2 linked regions of the Rhinolophus ferrumequinum genome follow. The protein of the gene in region 1 interacts with the protein of each later gene in a pairwise test. Links are inferred from orthologs where the notes say so. Each region holds a gene or a part of one and is shown on either strand. Other genes may lie near its edges.

Evidence for each region.
Region 2: the proteins of TRIM38 (region 1) and RFC5 interact in binary tests that used the Homo sapiens proteins (3 or more experiments, as listed by UniProt). The link is inferred for Rhinolophus ferrumequinum from reciprocal best matches to the Homo sapiens genes TRIM38 and RFC5.

What each region holds. Positions count from the first base shown.
Region 1 is NC_046305.1:1,629,429-1,637,517, reverse strand, and holds the start of TRIM38 (E3 ubiquitin-protein ligase TRIM38), read right to left. Parts: upstream 3,100-8,089; 5' UTR 2,989-3,099; intron 1,961-2,988; 5' UTR 1,833-1,960; coding exon 1,422-1,832; intron 1-1,421. UniProt on the Homo sapiens protein: E3 ubiquitin-protein and E3 SUMO-protein ligase that acts as a regulator of innate immunity. Acts as a negative regulator of type I interferon IFN-beta production by catalyzing 'Lys-48'-linked polyubiquitination of AZI2/NAP1, leading to its degradation.
Region 2 is NC_046308.1:11,466,325-11,473,903, forward strand, and holds the start of RFC5 (replication factor C subunit 5), read left to right. Parts: upstream 1-4,528; 5' UTR 4,529-4,659; coding exon 4,660-4,730; intron 4,731-6,255; coding exon 6,256-6,320; intron 6,321-6,589; coding exon 6,590-6,726; intron 6,727-7,579. UniProt on the Homo sapiens protein: Subunit of the replication factor C (RFC) complex which acts during elongation of primed DNA templates by DNA polymerases delta and epsilon, and is necessary for ATP-dependent loading of proliferating cell nuclear antigen (PCNA) onto primed DNA.

The sequences.
Region 1 (8,089 bases):
AGGTTATTTTTCAAAATAGTTTCTCACGTTCGCATGGAAAGCAGCTTGAAACAGGTCCAAACTGAAAGAAGGAGGTCCTGTCCTCTGTCACCCGACAGCACACTCACCATGTGCCCGTGTTGGCGAGAAAGGGCCCTGGTGCTTGTTAGGTAAGGGCTGGGTGTACCTGCTGGGTGCTGAGTGCTATTCCAGGCTTTGCTTAGGTGACTGTACTTAAAGCTTGTGACAGCTTCCTAGGCATGTGTGTGGTGAGGGGGGCTGCTGTTGTCCCCATTTACAAATGGGGACATGCAGACATTAAATAACTGGCCAGAGTCACCCATCGAGTCAGTGGCAGAGCTAAGGTTTCAAACCCACAATCCGAGTCCAAGGCTCAGAACCGTCACCCTGTGGTGTCCCTTTTCAAGCTACCTGGTGGGAAATGTCTCCATTCCTGTAATGAGCTGCCCATGGAGTTTGAGGAAGGGCTGCCCAGGGACATGTCCTGATGGACAGCCCAGGACGTGATACAAGCTCACCTCGGCCTCGTGGGGGATGGAACAGGAACCACCCCCCTACCCCCCCGGGACATTTTCCTCAAATCTAGGCAGGGCAGAGAAGGGGTAAAGCAGCAGGACGTGTCCTCTCCCTATGTCCCCACAGCCAGGGTCAGCTTCCTCCACAGCCATTTCCACGTCCTTCGGCCCCCTTCCTGAATCTTGCTGACAACCGTCCTCTCCTCCCTTCTTATAGGAATGATCAGAATTTTACTCCTTGACATTCCTTCTGTTTTGTCACTGTGAGAAAGCTCTTTTCAGTGTCTACCTTCATTCTGCATATGCAAGTGCCCGAGGCCAGGACCACCCTGCACTTGGATGTGGACCTGAGCTGGTACCTGCCTCTCAGGTACGACAGTCAGCCCAGCTCCCACGGCTGTACTTTTCCCTGTGATCCGCTCGGCCTGGCACGCCCTCGCTTCCCTCCACACTTCTGTATACAGGGAAGTTTTATGTGCCCTTCAGGAGTCATCCCCATCACAAACCAGGGGCCTCCGGGAAGTCCTTCTGCTGGTCTGTCTTCCCTGGTTTGTCTGTGGGATGCCTGAAAGATGGTATGTTTGTCCCCAGCGGTGCCTCAAATCTCACACACAGTGTGAGGGCAATGGAGTGCGTGGGTATGGGTTTGGGGACATTGTTCTAGTGCTGGGAGAAGGTCCTCTCTGCAAGACGAGTCTGACCGTCTCACACAAGGTCACACAAGGTCAGGATGGGCTGTGGGGACGTGACCCCCGGAGAACCCATCCTGAGCCATTTTCTAGAAGAAGTAGATGGGGAAAGTCATCCTTCGGGATGCAACCTTGGTGTCCGGCTGGATGACCTCAGGTCTGGGGAGCAATGAGAGTGGGGACCCGCCGAAGCCCCGTCCCAGACCCACACACTAACCTTGTAGCCCAGGCAAGCGTCTTCCACGAGCACGGTGACGTGCCCCTTGTGCTCCGGTGACCGCTCACAGCGCCAGCAGATGAGCCAGCCCTCATCCTCGCAGAACAGGTGGAGCTGCTCCCCGTGCTTTTTGCACGTTATCTCGAGGTTCAGCTCCTTCATGGCCTCAATGAGGTTCCCCAGCTGCTTGTTGGGCCGCAGGCTCGTCCTGCGGAATGGAGCCCGGCACTGGGGACAGAGGTACGTGCCTAGAGGTTGCTGCTGGTGGCCATGTTTGTCCAGGAAGTCCTCTATGCACAGCTGGCAGTAGCTGTGTCCACAGCTGATGCTCAGCGGCTCGGCCATCAGGTTCAGGCAGATGGAGCAGGTGGCTTCCTCCCTTATCCTCTCGCTGGCTGGGGCTGAGGCCATGGCTTCTCCCGAAAACCTCCAGGATCAGATCCAGGGGCGGAGAGGGAGCAGCCAGAACCCCCACAGTGACGGACGCATGTGTCACTTGGGCTGCGGTGCCACTGACCCCAGGTCCCAAGGTCTTCTCTCTGGACAAAGAGATGGAGTGGGACTCAGAAGGGCATGACCTGGGGCTGGGCCGTGGCCATCGTGTGGCCACTCAACTCAGTAAAACTACATCGGACTCAAAGTTCAGCTTCTCAGTTGCACTGGTCACATCCCGATGGCTACACTGCAGCCCAGACATAGAACCTTCCATCATGGCTGAAAGTTTTCTTGAACCAAGTGCCGAGAGAGAGACAGAGAGAGAGACAGAGAGAGAGAGAGAGCTCACCGAGGGCGTGTGAACCCTTCCTATCCTGCTCAACAATAAGAATAATTAGTTACAGCCGGTGGTCATGGAGGGTTCCATCAGAGGATCACATCGCTTGTACCCCCACCCCCACCCCACAAAGAACACAGGCACCAGGTTAATAGTCTCGTGGGGACCCCAGCAGGGTGACAGCAGAGGTAGAAAGGGCCACCAGATGGATGCGTTTGTTGTCTCTGTGATTGTCCCTGATTGAGGGGGAAAGAGAGCTGAGGATGAGGCGGTGACAGGGTCTCTGGCACCTGCCAAATGGGCGGCAGAGGGGGGACCATATCAAGGGTGTGCCAGGGACCCCAGCCCTGCCCCCCTGCCCACACCAGGCCGGTTAGAGACTGGCCTCTTTGAACTGACTGGTGGAATCAGAAATAAGCATTCAACACCAGTTACTGGAGACCCTGTTTCCTCTAACAAGTAGGGCCTGTGGCTCGGGACCAGAGAAGGTCGCCTGAAGGCTGCTCCATGGCAGGTGATTCCCAGGGACAGAGGCTGCTCAGTGGCAGGGGGGCTGTGCCCCTCCCGAGGCCCCAGGGCGCCCTGCTCAGCCTGTGCTCACCTCACATCCTGGATGCCCCGAGACTGTCTGCATGGGGCCTGGGGAAAGTGAAAGCAGACAGGGTGACAGGGGCTGATGACTGCCCAGGCCACGTCCTGGCTCTACAGCTCTGGCACACACCCTCCCTGCCACCCCCCTCCACACCCAGCTGTGGTGTCCCCCCCACAAACCCTGGCCTGGACCCTTCCCAGTACCTAGACACTGCAGCTGGGGTCCCTGGGAGCTGCCAGTCCGGACCAGGCAGTTGAGGAAGTTAACTCAGACTGGAGCAAACAGAAAGAAAATTCTGGGGGCGGGGCCTGTGGGGTGGGGCGGAAACTAGTGAACTGGCCCACTGTTTTGTACTCAGCTAGCCCTGATGGGGGCGGGGCACAGGGCTGGGAAAATATCCTCTTTTACAGCAATGAGAAAGGGACGGATTGGTCACCCTGAGCTGCTTTGTGACCCAGCACACGTCGGGGGTCAGGAAGTCTGTGCAGCTCACAGAGTTGGACTGAAGACTTTTCTGCTTTTGTCACCATCCCCATCGTGATCCATCAGACTTCCGGCAAATATCTAGTTTGCTAGTTTTAGGTCGCTTACTTTTTTATAACCACTCTTAAGAGGGTAGTAAGATAGGGTTGGTAGGACCTACTGAGGTGACAGGAATGGCTCCAGCCTGTGTCTGTCCTTCTGGTCCTCTCACTGTGTCATGACTCACCCCACCCCCATGTCCCTCTGCAGGATTCAGATACTTACCAGGACACCCAGCAATAGTCAGCAAGCCGCCAGGAGCCATGATGACCCAGCTGTAATGAAGGGCCCTGTGACCCCAGGGCCATCACTGTGCTCTGCGTCTGGTGCAGAAAAGGCTGTGGGCTTCGGGGCAGGAACTCCAACTCAGCTGCAGCCCCTCCTGTTCACACGGGAGCCAAAGGACTGTCCCTGCCCCATTCAGAGCTGTGACTGACAAGGGAAAACCAGGGCACCACCTCAGAGGAAGAGCTTGCCATACGCATAGCTGCAGGTATTAGACGCACTTACAATAAACGCACACACAACAGATGTTCGCACAGGAAATAATTTCTGCAGTGTCCCGAGGGGCCAGTCAGGGAGGCTCAACTCCCGGCAGAAGTCAGGCGTGGACCCTACCAGCTGCCGGGGACCAATGCTGGGCCCCGCGCTTGGCCGGTCAGGTGCTGACCCTGACGGTCCTGTGGGAAGCTGTGCCCTGGGCAGCACAGACGGGGCCTGGCGGGACTTTGGCCAGGCTGCTCAGGCTGGAAGCAAAATTGTGAAAACAGACCCTCTCTTTCCACCGCACGCAGGCACCTCGTCAGCACTGCCCTCTCCAGGGAGCTCACAGAGGCTCAGCCACGGTGCCAGCCAGTGCCTCCTGTGCCCTGGCACATCCTGTGGCAGACCCCGCACAGGGCAGGCCTGAAGCAGCCAGCATGCAGGCAGAGGACACAGCCACCAACTCCCTGAGATGGTGAGGGCTCCTTGTGATTCCCATGCCCTTCATTTCTGTGGCTGTGACACTGGACCCAGGCACAGCACATCTCAAATTTGTGCTGTCCAAGGATGAGGGAAAGGAAGCAAGTGAAAGCCAAGAGGAAAACAAACGACCACTAGCAACAAAGCAGCACCATTACGATGGGCTGCGTGCTGTGCCAGCTGCCCACCTTGCCCCTGTGTCCCGTGGCGTGAAGGAGAAACCGGCCCATGCAGACAGCTGCAGGTCATACAAGGTGACAGGGGCTGCAATAGGCCTCCAGAGGTATGTTCCCCGAAGGTGGGCCCAGGGAGAGACCAGTAGGAGCTGCCCACCCCCACCCCACCCCCTACCCCAGTAGGAAATGCCTCCCCTCCTATCAGTGAGGCTGGGCTTGGCCCTGTGAGTCTGGGATGCAGGAAAACTGGAGACCCACAGCCAGTGGTTCAACGGAGTCTCCTTAAAAAAGATGTAAGTGTTTGTAGGCGTGTATTTATGATAGAAAAACACTGGACGCAAATTGCCTGCTAACAATAGTAACATGTTAAATAAGTTAGGAACCACTGCATTGTTTTATTTCTTTTTTTTTCAATTCTAAAATTTCCATTTTCTTTACATCTTGTATTTCTTTACTAGGATTTATATATCTTTAGTCATTTCAAGAACATTTGCAATTGTTGGAGCATTTTTTTTTAAATAGCTGCTTTAAGTCTTGTCAGAAAATTCTAACAAATTGTCACCTAAGTACATGTGGCATCTGTGATCCCCTTTTCCCACATGAGATGTCGCCATTTTCCCGATTCTTCATACGCTTCATTCTTTTGGTTTGTATCCTGATCATTTGACTATTACCTTATGAGACTCTGGGTCTTGTGTAAATACTCTTGAGAATGTTGGCATTTTTTTGCTTTAGCAAACACTCAACGTCTTTAGGTCCAGGCTGTGTGTTTGCATCAGCTTTCTGGGGGTCCTTTCAGTTTGCCAGGCTTTGCAGTGCTCTTCAGATTTGTCTCCCGCGTGTGCCACCCAGTGGCCAGTCAGTGGTCATTGTGTGTTCATCGTTCCTTTCTCACTTCTAAGGTGCAGTGTCGGTGGGATACGCGCAGCACTGCCTGGGCTGGGACCCAGGGTCCTTGTGCATCCACGTGGGGCTACCCTCCCAAGCCCCTCCTTCTTCAAGATCTCCCGGGCACTTTCAGTTTCCGGGCCTCCCTTTGAAATCCTTTTGGCCAGAAAGCTTTGACTGTATTTACTCCACCATGACTACAGAGAGAGCGCGGGGTGTGGGTGTTCATAGCATGGCATTTTGAGACCACAGTTCCCCTGACATGAGATGAAGGTTCACCCCACTGAGCATGTCGGCTGTGGGGCCGCTTGCAGGCTGGGGTGGGAGGGAACAGGGAAGAGAAAAAATGTGTGGGTTTGTCCCGACTCCCACTCTTTCTGAGTGAGTGTGCGTGTTACTCAGAATTCAAACTCTGAGGGCGGTTTCAAGGCAGAATAAGTACAGTATCTGTTACTTTTGTAAACAGAAAAATACATAAATAAATAATACCAGTTTTTTGGTGTTTTTTTTTAAAGAGACTTGGGCCAAGATGAATATAAAAGGCATTCTCCTCTACTTCAAACACAAAGCCATACTAGGTAAAAGATACATAGAGAAGGGAAGAAGCTTAGCAAACCTTGAAAACAATATAAACATCTCCGTAAGCTGGGAAGTAAGGGGAGACGCAAAGCTTTGCATAAAGCTGAGGCTACAGGCCTATGGACCCCAGGACCAGGAGCTCTGCACAGAGTGTGGGGACATGACACCTGCAGGGGAAAGAAGACAGAAATGATGACTACTCTGTGTAAGGACATGGAGCCAGAGGCAGGCTCACTGTTTGAGTGTGTGTCTGGCATGGACTCTGGCTCATGTGTGTTATTTATCTATTGCTGCAAAATGAATGACTAGCAACTTAGCATCTTGAAACAATGCATGTGTGGTTTTGCCCAGTGTCTGTAGGTCTGAATTTTCGGGCGTGGCTTAGCTGGGCCTCTGCTTGGGGGTCTCACCTGGCTGCAATCCAGGTGTTGGATGTATCTGAAGTGTCGTCAGAGGCATGATGAGGGAAATATCCACCTCCAAGCTTCCTCGTGTTGTTGGCAAAACCCAGCTGCAGAACTGCATTTACATTCCGTGTGTGTGTGGGGGGGGGGGGTGGTCGCCTCTGCTCCTAGAGGCTGCCCACAGTTCCCTCCCACGTGGTGTTTCCCTATTGCAGCCACTCACTCCCTCCGAGCCAGCAAAAGAGAGACAGAGAGAGCAAACCTGTGAGGAAGACGGGGCTAAAACAATACAATATAATCAGGGAGGCAACATCCCATCACCTTAGCCATTTTCCATTGGTTAGAAGGAGACCACAAGTCACACCCACACTCAAGGCATGGATGTAACAAAGTCATAGAGGCCACTTTAGGGTCTGTCTGTCACATGCTGAAAGAGGCTGCAGACCTGTCTGTGCCAAGTGACGTCCAGGGCTATGCACCTTCGGAAGAAGTAGTCCTGGGAGGTGGGGGCAAGTCGGGGCTAAGCCCGGCAGTGGGACCTCCGTGAAGCTGCCTACAGGGCAGAGTCTGGACTGTCACAGGGCGAGACCCGGAATACTAGGGTATAACCTGGCGTGGCTCTGGAATACGGATCTTAAAATGCAGTTCCAAGCAACACAAAAAAGCCTTGGGGAAACCAGGGAGACAGCAAGCATGGGCCCAAGGTAATCAGCTCTGAGGAACAAGATTTTAGGCGCACCTTTCCTCAGGTCTTTCTGTATTGTTTCAAATTACGTACAAAGAGCATTTATTTATTTTGTATTCAGAGAAAGAAAAAACCCAGTCTGACTTTTAGGAAAACCCAAAACACCCAGATAAAAAATTCCAGCTCAGAAAACAGTGAGAAATCTGGGTGAGGAGTCAGGAAGGGCAGGTCACAAAGGCGTCACACGTAATACTCAGGGGCACGGACTCCGTCTGTGGTTCCTGTGCTTCCTCGGCGCAAAGCCATATGGAAACAGAAGCAGGAGTGGGGGACAGCATGCAGAGGCCACAGGAAACTAGAAGCATTTCTCTGAAGTGCCCGTTTTACGCAACCATTCGGGGAACATGTTTTTATTTGCTTTAAACAAGTTCAGTCAGATGCACCATTTGCACGAATTTTGAAAGGAAAATGAGAGACTTGACAAAGAATCTATGTATATGCCAGGCTGTCTTGTTTTGCTTCTCCAGAACAACTGTGTAATTAGAGATAATCCGCTGGAAACAATGAAACAACTGGGAATCACTCGTATGTTTTAAGCAGCAGTGATCAGGTTTACATTTTCAGAAAGTTTGGTCTAAACTAAACATTGTTTTAAACTGTTGCCTAATTTCCTATGATAACAGTGTGTTGCCGTATGTTCACTTCTCCCACTGATGGGCCATTAGGCGATTCCCAACCTCGTCTAGTTTTTCTTCTGATTCTCACTGCATGTGTTTATTAATTCAGAGGGTTGGTCTTTTCATGACATTAGGTTCTCCCACGCAGTAAAATAGTTCCACATGATCCGATCCTGTCTTATGCCCTTTAATTAAATTTCACTGATTTTTTTTTTCCTTTGAGTCACACTTTTTTTGTTCCTATAATTTCTAAAAACTTTATAGTTTTTCTTGCTGGAGAACAATAAAAACTTTCTATTTCCATTCCTGGCTGATTATTTCTGCTGCTGGGAAAAGCAGTTGATTTGGGGGGGAAAAAGAAAAAAAAAGTGTGTCATGTTTCTTGTCAGTCCCCCAAAGTCCCTTCATGC
Region 2 (7,579 bases), on another chromosome or scaffold:
CTTGAAAAATCAAGTCTGGCAACATTTGGTTGCTGTCCCGAATACTGGGGTAGTGGACATTTGTGATCCTTTGGCCGCAGTATCTGAACCCCTCTCCTATGTTCAGGGATTGTTCCCAGTTCACAAGGCTTGGTGGGAAGCAGAAGTCTTTCCCGCCATTCAAGCTATATACCAAGCACTCACTAGCATGATACCCAGGCTTGGCCATTTTGACATGTCTCCCAGGCTTTTAAGTGGGGCGCTAGTTTTTAGAAGAATCCAGTACAGGTTAGAACTGATCAGTGGTTCTGATAGAAATGATGAAAGCAATTCTAGGAACTATGGGGGCAGTAGCATCCAAAGGTCAGCAGCTGCAAGTTTCCTTACTGGATTGGTTCCGTGGAGTAATTCTGACCATGGTTTCAGTTCCATGGCCGTCTTTGTCCTATTTTCCAATGAGCCTGCCTGCTCATTGTGAGCTATTTAATATTCCGTGGCTAAATTCCTTTTCTGCTTAAATCTTCGATCTACAAACTCTGCTTCCTTGAGGTATAGTTTCCACACAACCCTCTTCCTTTATATATGAACTTCCAAGCTACTTATACATGTGAGCTCGTCATCATGTCTCTTTCTCTTTAAAGTGATAGAATACAGTGGTACCTTGATTTTCTAACATAATCCATTCCAGAAGACCGTTTGAGTTCTGAAACATTAAAAAACTGAGGTGCAGTTTCCCCATAGAAAGTAAATGCAAAATGGATTAATCCATTCCAGACCTTTAAAATCAACCCCTAAAACTACAAATTTAGCATGAATTTTACTACCTAATGATACTATGGATCCACAAAATTTACGGCATTTGTAAACCGAAATGTTCATTAACAGAGATGTTCGAAAACCAAGGTACCACTGTATTGATATTGGAAGAGAAGCTAAAGATCCTCTAATGCAAGGATCAGCAAAGTAATGAGAAGTTTCCCAGAGGAGCTGCTCCCATTTCCCCTTACATCTCACTGGGCAGCACTGGGTCACATGCTCACCCTGTAAACCAATCAGAGGACGAGGGGTTGCTGTGATTGGCAACCCTGGAGCAGTAGTTCAACTTTGGCTGAATATTAAAATCATCTGGGGAGCTTTTTAAAATGCCAATGCTGGGTCCCTACCCCCAGAGACCCAAGTTAATTGGTCTGGCTGGACTTCTGGCACTGGAATTTTTTTAAAAAATCCTCAGGTGCTTTTAATGCCATTCCTGTCTCTAGTTCAACCTCCCACCCCTCTCCATTTTACAGGTCCTAATATTGAGGTCCAAAGAGATACTAAGTAACTTGCCCAAAGAATTATACCTTCAAGTAAGAGCAAAAACAAACACAAACAAAACCACACACACACACACACAAATGGCATTTAATAAGACACGTTTGTTTTTCTGTAATATGCATGTGAGCACACATTCTTTTTCTTAGAAAGTGAAGTCATGGAGAGCTCAAGGACTGAGAAGCAGTAGGTAGGGCAGTGGTTCTCAAACTCGATTGCATCAGAATCCCCCGGAGTCCACACAGGTGGCTGGGCCCACCCCCAGAGTTTCAGATTCAATAGGTTTGGGGTTGGGGGAAAGAATAATGAACACTTCTAACAAGTTCCCAGGGGATGTTACTGCTGCTAGTCCAAGGACCACACTCGTATAGTGGCTAAGAGCGGAGGCTATAGAATCGTAGTATCTTGGTAAGATCTGTTTCTGCCCGACACCTTGTCAGAACACGGGCAAGTTACTTAACATGTCTATGAAACGGGGCCAATGATAGTAGCTTGGGCTTATCACAACAATCGTGTGAGTATAATAAACGTATGACACTTAGAACAGTGCCTGACCTATAGTAACTGTCTAATGAATATTAGCTGTTAGCATTCATTCATTCATTGAACAATTCCTTTGAGCCAGGCACTGTTCCTGGCATCAGGAATACAGTCGTGAATAAGTCAAAGCTTAGCCTCTCAATGAGCTTACAATCCACTGGGGAGACAGACAATAGATAACCTTGTAAATACCTAATATAATGTCACACAGAAGAATTCTGTATTCCAAGGAAACTGACGAGCAGGTGCACACAGTTTTATGAGAACTTGGTCCAGTCCTGTTTGCATCTATCAGCTCGAGGACTGGTGGCATCATGCTTCTAATGCAAAGGCTCCATAACAAGATGGCTTTTACTATGGTGGTTGAAGGAAGCCCAGGTTATGGCATTTTAGTCATGGTTCTCCACAGAAATAGAACCAATAAAAAAATGTGTGTGTGTGTGTGTGTGTGATTTATAGTTACACTTAGATTTATGTACATTTTCAAACATTCAAGTATTTCTATATTCTACATTCTACAATAAATATATATTAATATATAACACGTGTAACATATAACATATTGTATATTAATAATACAGTTATATAACTATTTTATATTTTTAATATTTTATATATTCATATTTATATTATATATGCCATAGGAATTGGCTAAAGTGAATATGGAGGGCAAGAAATCCCACAATCTGCTGTTTGCAAGCTGAAGACCAAGGAAAGCTGGTGATTTAATTTAGTCTGAGTTCGAAGACCTGAGAATCAAGAGCACAGGTGTTGGAGGACAAAAGATGGGTGTCCCGGCTCAAAAAGAAAGCAAATTCACGCTTCCTCTGCCTTTTTGTTTTATTCAGGCCCTGAGCAGGTTGGGCGACGCCCACCTGCGTTAGTGCAGGTGATCTTTATTTAGTCTACTGATTCAAATGCCAATCTCTTGCAAAAACACCCTTAGAGACAACCCCCAAAATAATATTTTACGAACTCCCTTAGCTCAGTCAAGTTGACACATAAAAATAATCCTCACAGGCATAGTCACACCAGCCAATTCTTTAAGTTTTGTTTGAGAGGAAACATTTGAAACAAGATGTCAGGCAGGGACTCAGCCCTCATTCCCCGCACAAGAACTCAGGATATGGTGAGGCCGAAAAGAAACAACGGAGCCACAGATAGAGGAGTCATACTACCATATTCTCGATGGCGGCTGGTCGAGACACAGGAAGTAAGATCAACACGATCTGCAATCCACAATCCACTGGCTAACCGCAATGACTAGCTTGCTACCCGCAATTGCTAGCCGTAATCCGCCATGTGCTTCTCTGCCAACCAACTAACCAACCTCCTAGCATAGCCATGGCAGTTATATTAGTGGCTAATGGCTAACTGGTTACAGTGGATAGCCAACTAGTCACAGCTGATGGCCATCTACTACCTGAGCCAGCACCTTTCCACGTGAGGATGAGAGCCTGGAAACTGCTCTCTGGGGCTCTGTCCCCACACAAGAACAGATGGGTGGCCAGCTAGTGTTATTAGGTTGGTGCAAAAGCAATTGCGGTTTAAAAGGTTAAAACCAATCGCACCAATAGAAGGGAAGTTATTCCATTGAATTCTCACGATCATTTGGGGGTAAATATTATTTTGGAGAAGGAGAGAAGCAACCTGCCCGAAGCTAAGTGGCAAAAGTGGCGTGTTAATGATCTGAACAACTAGTATTAGGATTGGCCTGGAGGAAGCAGAGGGTAGAGGCGCTGTCGTACCACGAGCCACATCTGACCCCCTGCTTCTGAACCCCCAGGCAGGCGCTAGGGTGAAGCCATACTGCCATCATGTAATTGCTCACTGTCCCTCTACTCTGCTCCTAACACAGGTGACAGTGACACAATAAAATGCAAGGAGCAGCTACTTCTGAATCAGAACACCCTGACTCCACGCCAGCCTCATCTCCTCTCAGTATTGGCTTTCTCAACGTGTAAAAAACAAACAAACAAACAAACACTTTATTATGGATGTAACAGACACTCTTTCCTGGGAAATACCAGCAACATTCTCCCTTCACCTCCGGAAAAACACTACAAATTTGATACCAATTCTCAGTGTCTTCAGTTCATAGGGACCCTGTCTTCTATGCCTATTAACTAGCCCTTTCCAGGTACACATATTAACCTAATTGGAAGTTTATTGTTTTGTTTTCACTCTGGACTTGTTTCTGGGGGTTGGCTCTCTAAATTCTGTTGGGTGAGGGACATGAATTTGGGAGACAGATTGGAGTTGTGTTTGTTTGGAGTTGTTTTTCAATTCAAAGTACTCACCTCCCTGTTTTGGAGCCAAAAGGTTTTTCAAGCCTCTTTTCGTTTGGCACTTATGTTTAAGAACTGGCGTGGCATTTGGGGTTATTTTTTAGGGCTGGCAGCTTTCTGGTCCTTTGAAGGGCGAGTGTTTGAACTTTGGTGATGGCAAAATTGGCTTTGGCCATGACACTTTAATTTGTAATGATGACTGGCGATTGCAGGGGTGGCCTTACCTCTCCCTACCCCCCATCTCACTGGGCTCAGGAAGCCTCTTGGCACGGAAGAGCGGGCAGCGCGGGCTAGAAGGGGGGAGCGGGAGGGAAGCGAGGCCCGCGCTTCACGGTAACCAGGCAACCGGCGCCTTAGCAACAGAAAGGGGCGGGACCGAGAGAGGAAGTCGGAAGGCTGCGACTAAACCTCGCGATAGTTGCTTTTGCGCGCGAACTCTAAGAGCCGGGGTCCCCGGGTTAAGTTGGGGCTTTTCGGCGTGCAGGCTCCTGGGGGACGCGACGACCCCCGCCGATCCGGACACCTTCAGCACCCCACCATGGAAGCCTCGGCGCACAAGCAGCAGCAGCAGCAGCAGCCCGCGGCGACCAAGATCAGGAACCTGCCCTGGTAGGAGGAGGCCTGGCTGCCGCGCAGAAGGGGTCGGCCGCTCGGGAAGGCAGTGGTCGGGGTGCGCAGGGCGCCGGGCCGCCCCCCGACCTGCGGTGGGAGGGAGCCACAGAGGTGCGCCTCCACACCTCCAGTCCCCCAATTCCCCTCCGTTCTATTTATGACGTTTGCCAGATCTCCCTGGTCCCCTCCGTCCCATTCCTTCTACGGAAGAAGAAAGCGGCTTTCGCACCTGGGTAACAGCACAGGGCTTTGATCCCGCGTCTTCTGACACTGCATTGGCCACGGAGCCCGAATGGCCTCTTCTCTCTTGCCGAAATCTTCGCTGTGATTGGTCAAATTCTAAAACATAATAATAACACTCCCTAGTTGACTTTTACTTAAATGGCTTTCTATTAGATTATCAGGCACTCTCGATGTTTGATCTTTACGAAGATCCTAGGAGGTAGGTATTCTTTATTATTCCAGTTTTACAGTTGGAATACAACCAAAAGGTTAAATGACTAGCCTAAGGGCCAGAGCTAGAAAATAAATTTGGATTTGAATCCAAGTGGGCTGAATTCACAGCCTGCATTTACTTCCACAGCTATGTCCTAATGATGTTTTAAAGGCTGATGGGAGTTCGCTTGATTTCAGAAATCTTGTTCTTGTCTAACAACGGGTTCCATTTGTTTTTATTATGTTAAAAATACGTACAATTTACACTTGTAACCATTTTAAAGTGTACAGTTCCGTGGCATTAAGTACATTCAGAACGCTGTGCAACCATGCCACTGTCTAGTTCCAAAATTTTTCATCACCCCTAATAGAAATCCCATACCCACTGGCACCCACTCCCCTCCCTCCCCCCAGCCCCTGGCAACCACTAATCTGCTTTCTGTCTCTGTGAATTTGCCTATTTTGTATATTTCATATAAATACAGTCAATATCTGGCTTTTTGTGACTGGCTTGTTTTCACTTACTGTGTTTTCATGGTTCATCCATGAATGTATCACACTCCATTTCTTTTTATGGCTGAATAATATTCCATTGTATGGCTATACCATCATTTATTTATCCATTCATATGTTGATGTATACTTGGGTAGGAATTCAGTTTTGAATTCACACTGAAATAATAGGAGCCCATCCAGGTTGAGATTACACGCAGACAGCTGGAAAGGTGAAAGTGGAGCGGAGTTTATCGACTTCAGCCTTATGGACATTTTGGGCCAGCTCTGTGGGGTGGGGAGTTGGGGGGCCTGTCCTGTGCAGTGTAGGAGGTTTAGCCACATCCCTGGTGCCTGCCCACTAGATGCCAGTAGCACCCTCCACCCAACTGTGACAACTGAAAATGTCTCCAGATAGCGCCAAATGTTCCTTGGGGGACAAAACCACCCCTGGTTGAGGACCCCAGGTCTGTATTCAAATTTAAAGGGTTTTGTGTCTCTTCCTCTTTGAGTTAGGATATGAAAGGATTCTTGGGCATATAACAAAACGTTCTTGCATTAATATATGTTGTAATCCATGCTGAATTGTATTTCAGGGTTGAAAAATACCGGCCACAGGCACTGAGTGACCTCATTTCTCATCAGGACATTTTGAGTACCAGTAAGCATCCATGTGTCATTTGCTGTTATCCTAGTTGAAGGACCTGTTACATTTCTTGGTGCTCTTGTCTCTGCTAAGTAATAAGTTGGAAGACTGATTGAGCTTCGTGGAATGTGGCTGTAAGAGTTGCATCCTTCGGATATTTTGATTCCTGCATCTGCCTCTGATTTGCATATAGGGTTGAAGTGCATTTAGCCCAACTCACGGGCCCAAGTGAATGAAGCGACTCTCAGAAACTGATGAGGTCTCTCTTTCTTCCTGATCCTCAGTTCAAAAATTCATCAGTGAAGACCGACTGCCACACCTGCTTCTCTACGGTCCTCCGGGCACAGGAAAGACGTCCACCATCCTGGCCTGTGCTAAACAGCTATACAAAGATAAAGAATTCGGCTCCATGGTCCTGGAGGTAAACAGGAGGGTTATTCTTACTCGACAAGGGACTCGAGTCTCTTAGTTGTGCTAGTTTCATTTCACTTTACAAGTAAGTTGTCCCCCTGGTGGTTGGGAAAGAAGCCGATGTAAAATAAGAATACTTCAATTCACTTTTTACTATAATTGGAATTTTGGTCTGGATGGGCAGTAGCTAGAGGGCAGTTGTAGGGCTAAGTGTTTTTCTGTGCTGTTGACGGCTTATACCCACACGCTCCATGGTCCCCCGCTGAGTGATCGCTCCGTTGCTGGATATGTCCCACGTGCCCCGTCAGATTGACTACAAGCTCTTTTGCCCTCGAGCTCCTGGTTAGGTTTGGCCAATAGGGGCCCTGAGAGTCTGGGGAAAGGAGAATGATGCCTGGTCCTGCTCTGGGGGCCCCCACAGGCTGACAGCGTCCCCCCTGCAGGACACATAACACTGCCTGCTCCAGGTGCCAACACCACGCCCCTGTTAACCCCATAAGACTTGTGGGTGGTAATGGGCCCCAATAGTCCCTGAGGTATTGCATAGCTCTCTTGGTTCCCCACACCCCATGAACACCTTTAAAAATAACTCTTCATGTAATTCTCTTCAAATTGCTGAATCTGAGCATGCCATCTATTTACTGCTGAAACTCAACCGATACACTTAGATTACACAATTCTAAATATTGTCTATTGCACGAAAAATGATGTTTAACTTATTTTGTTATATGTCTTAGAACGTTGCTGCCACTAATGTGCTTACCTCAGTGTATTAAGAACTTGGTAACTTCTGGGTTGCTCTAGGTTTGGTAGCTAAAATAAGCATCATTCTACTCATGCCAGAGGTGCTGTTTACTTGACTA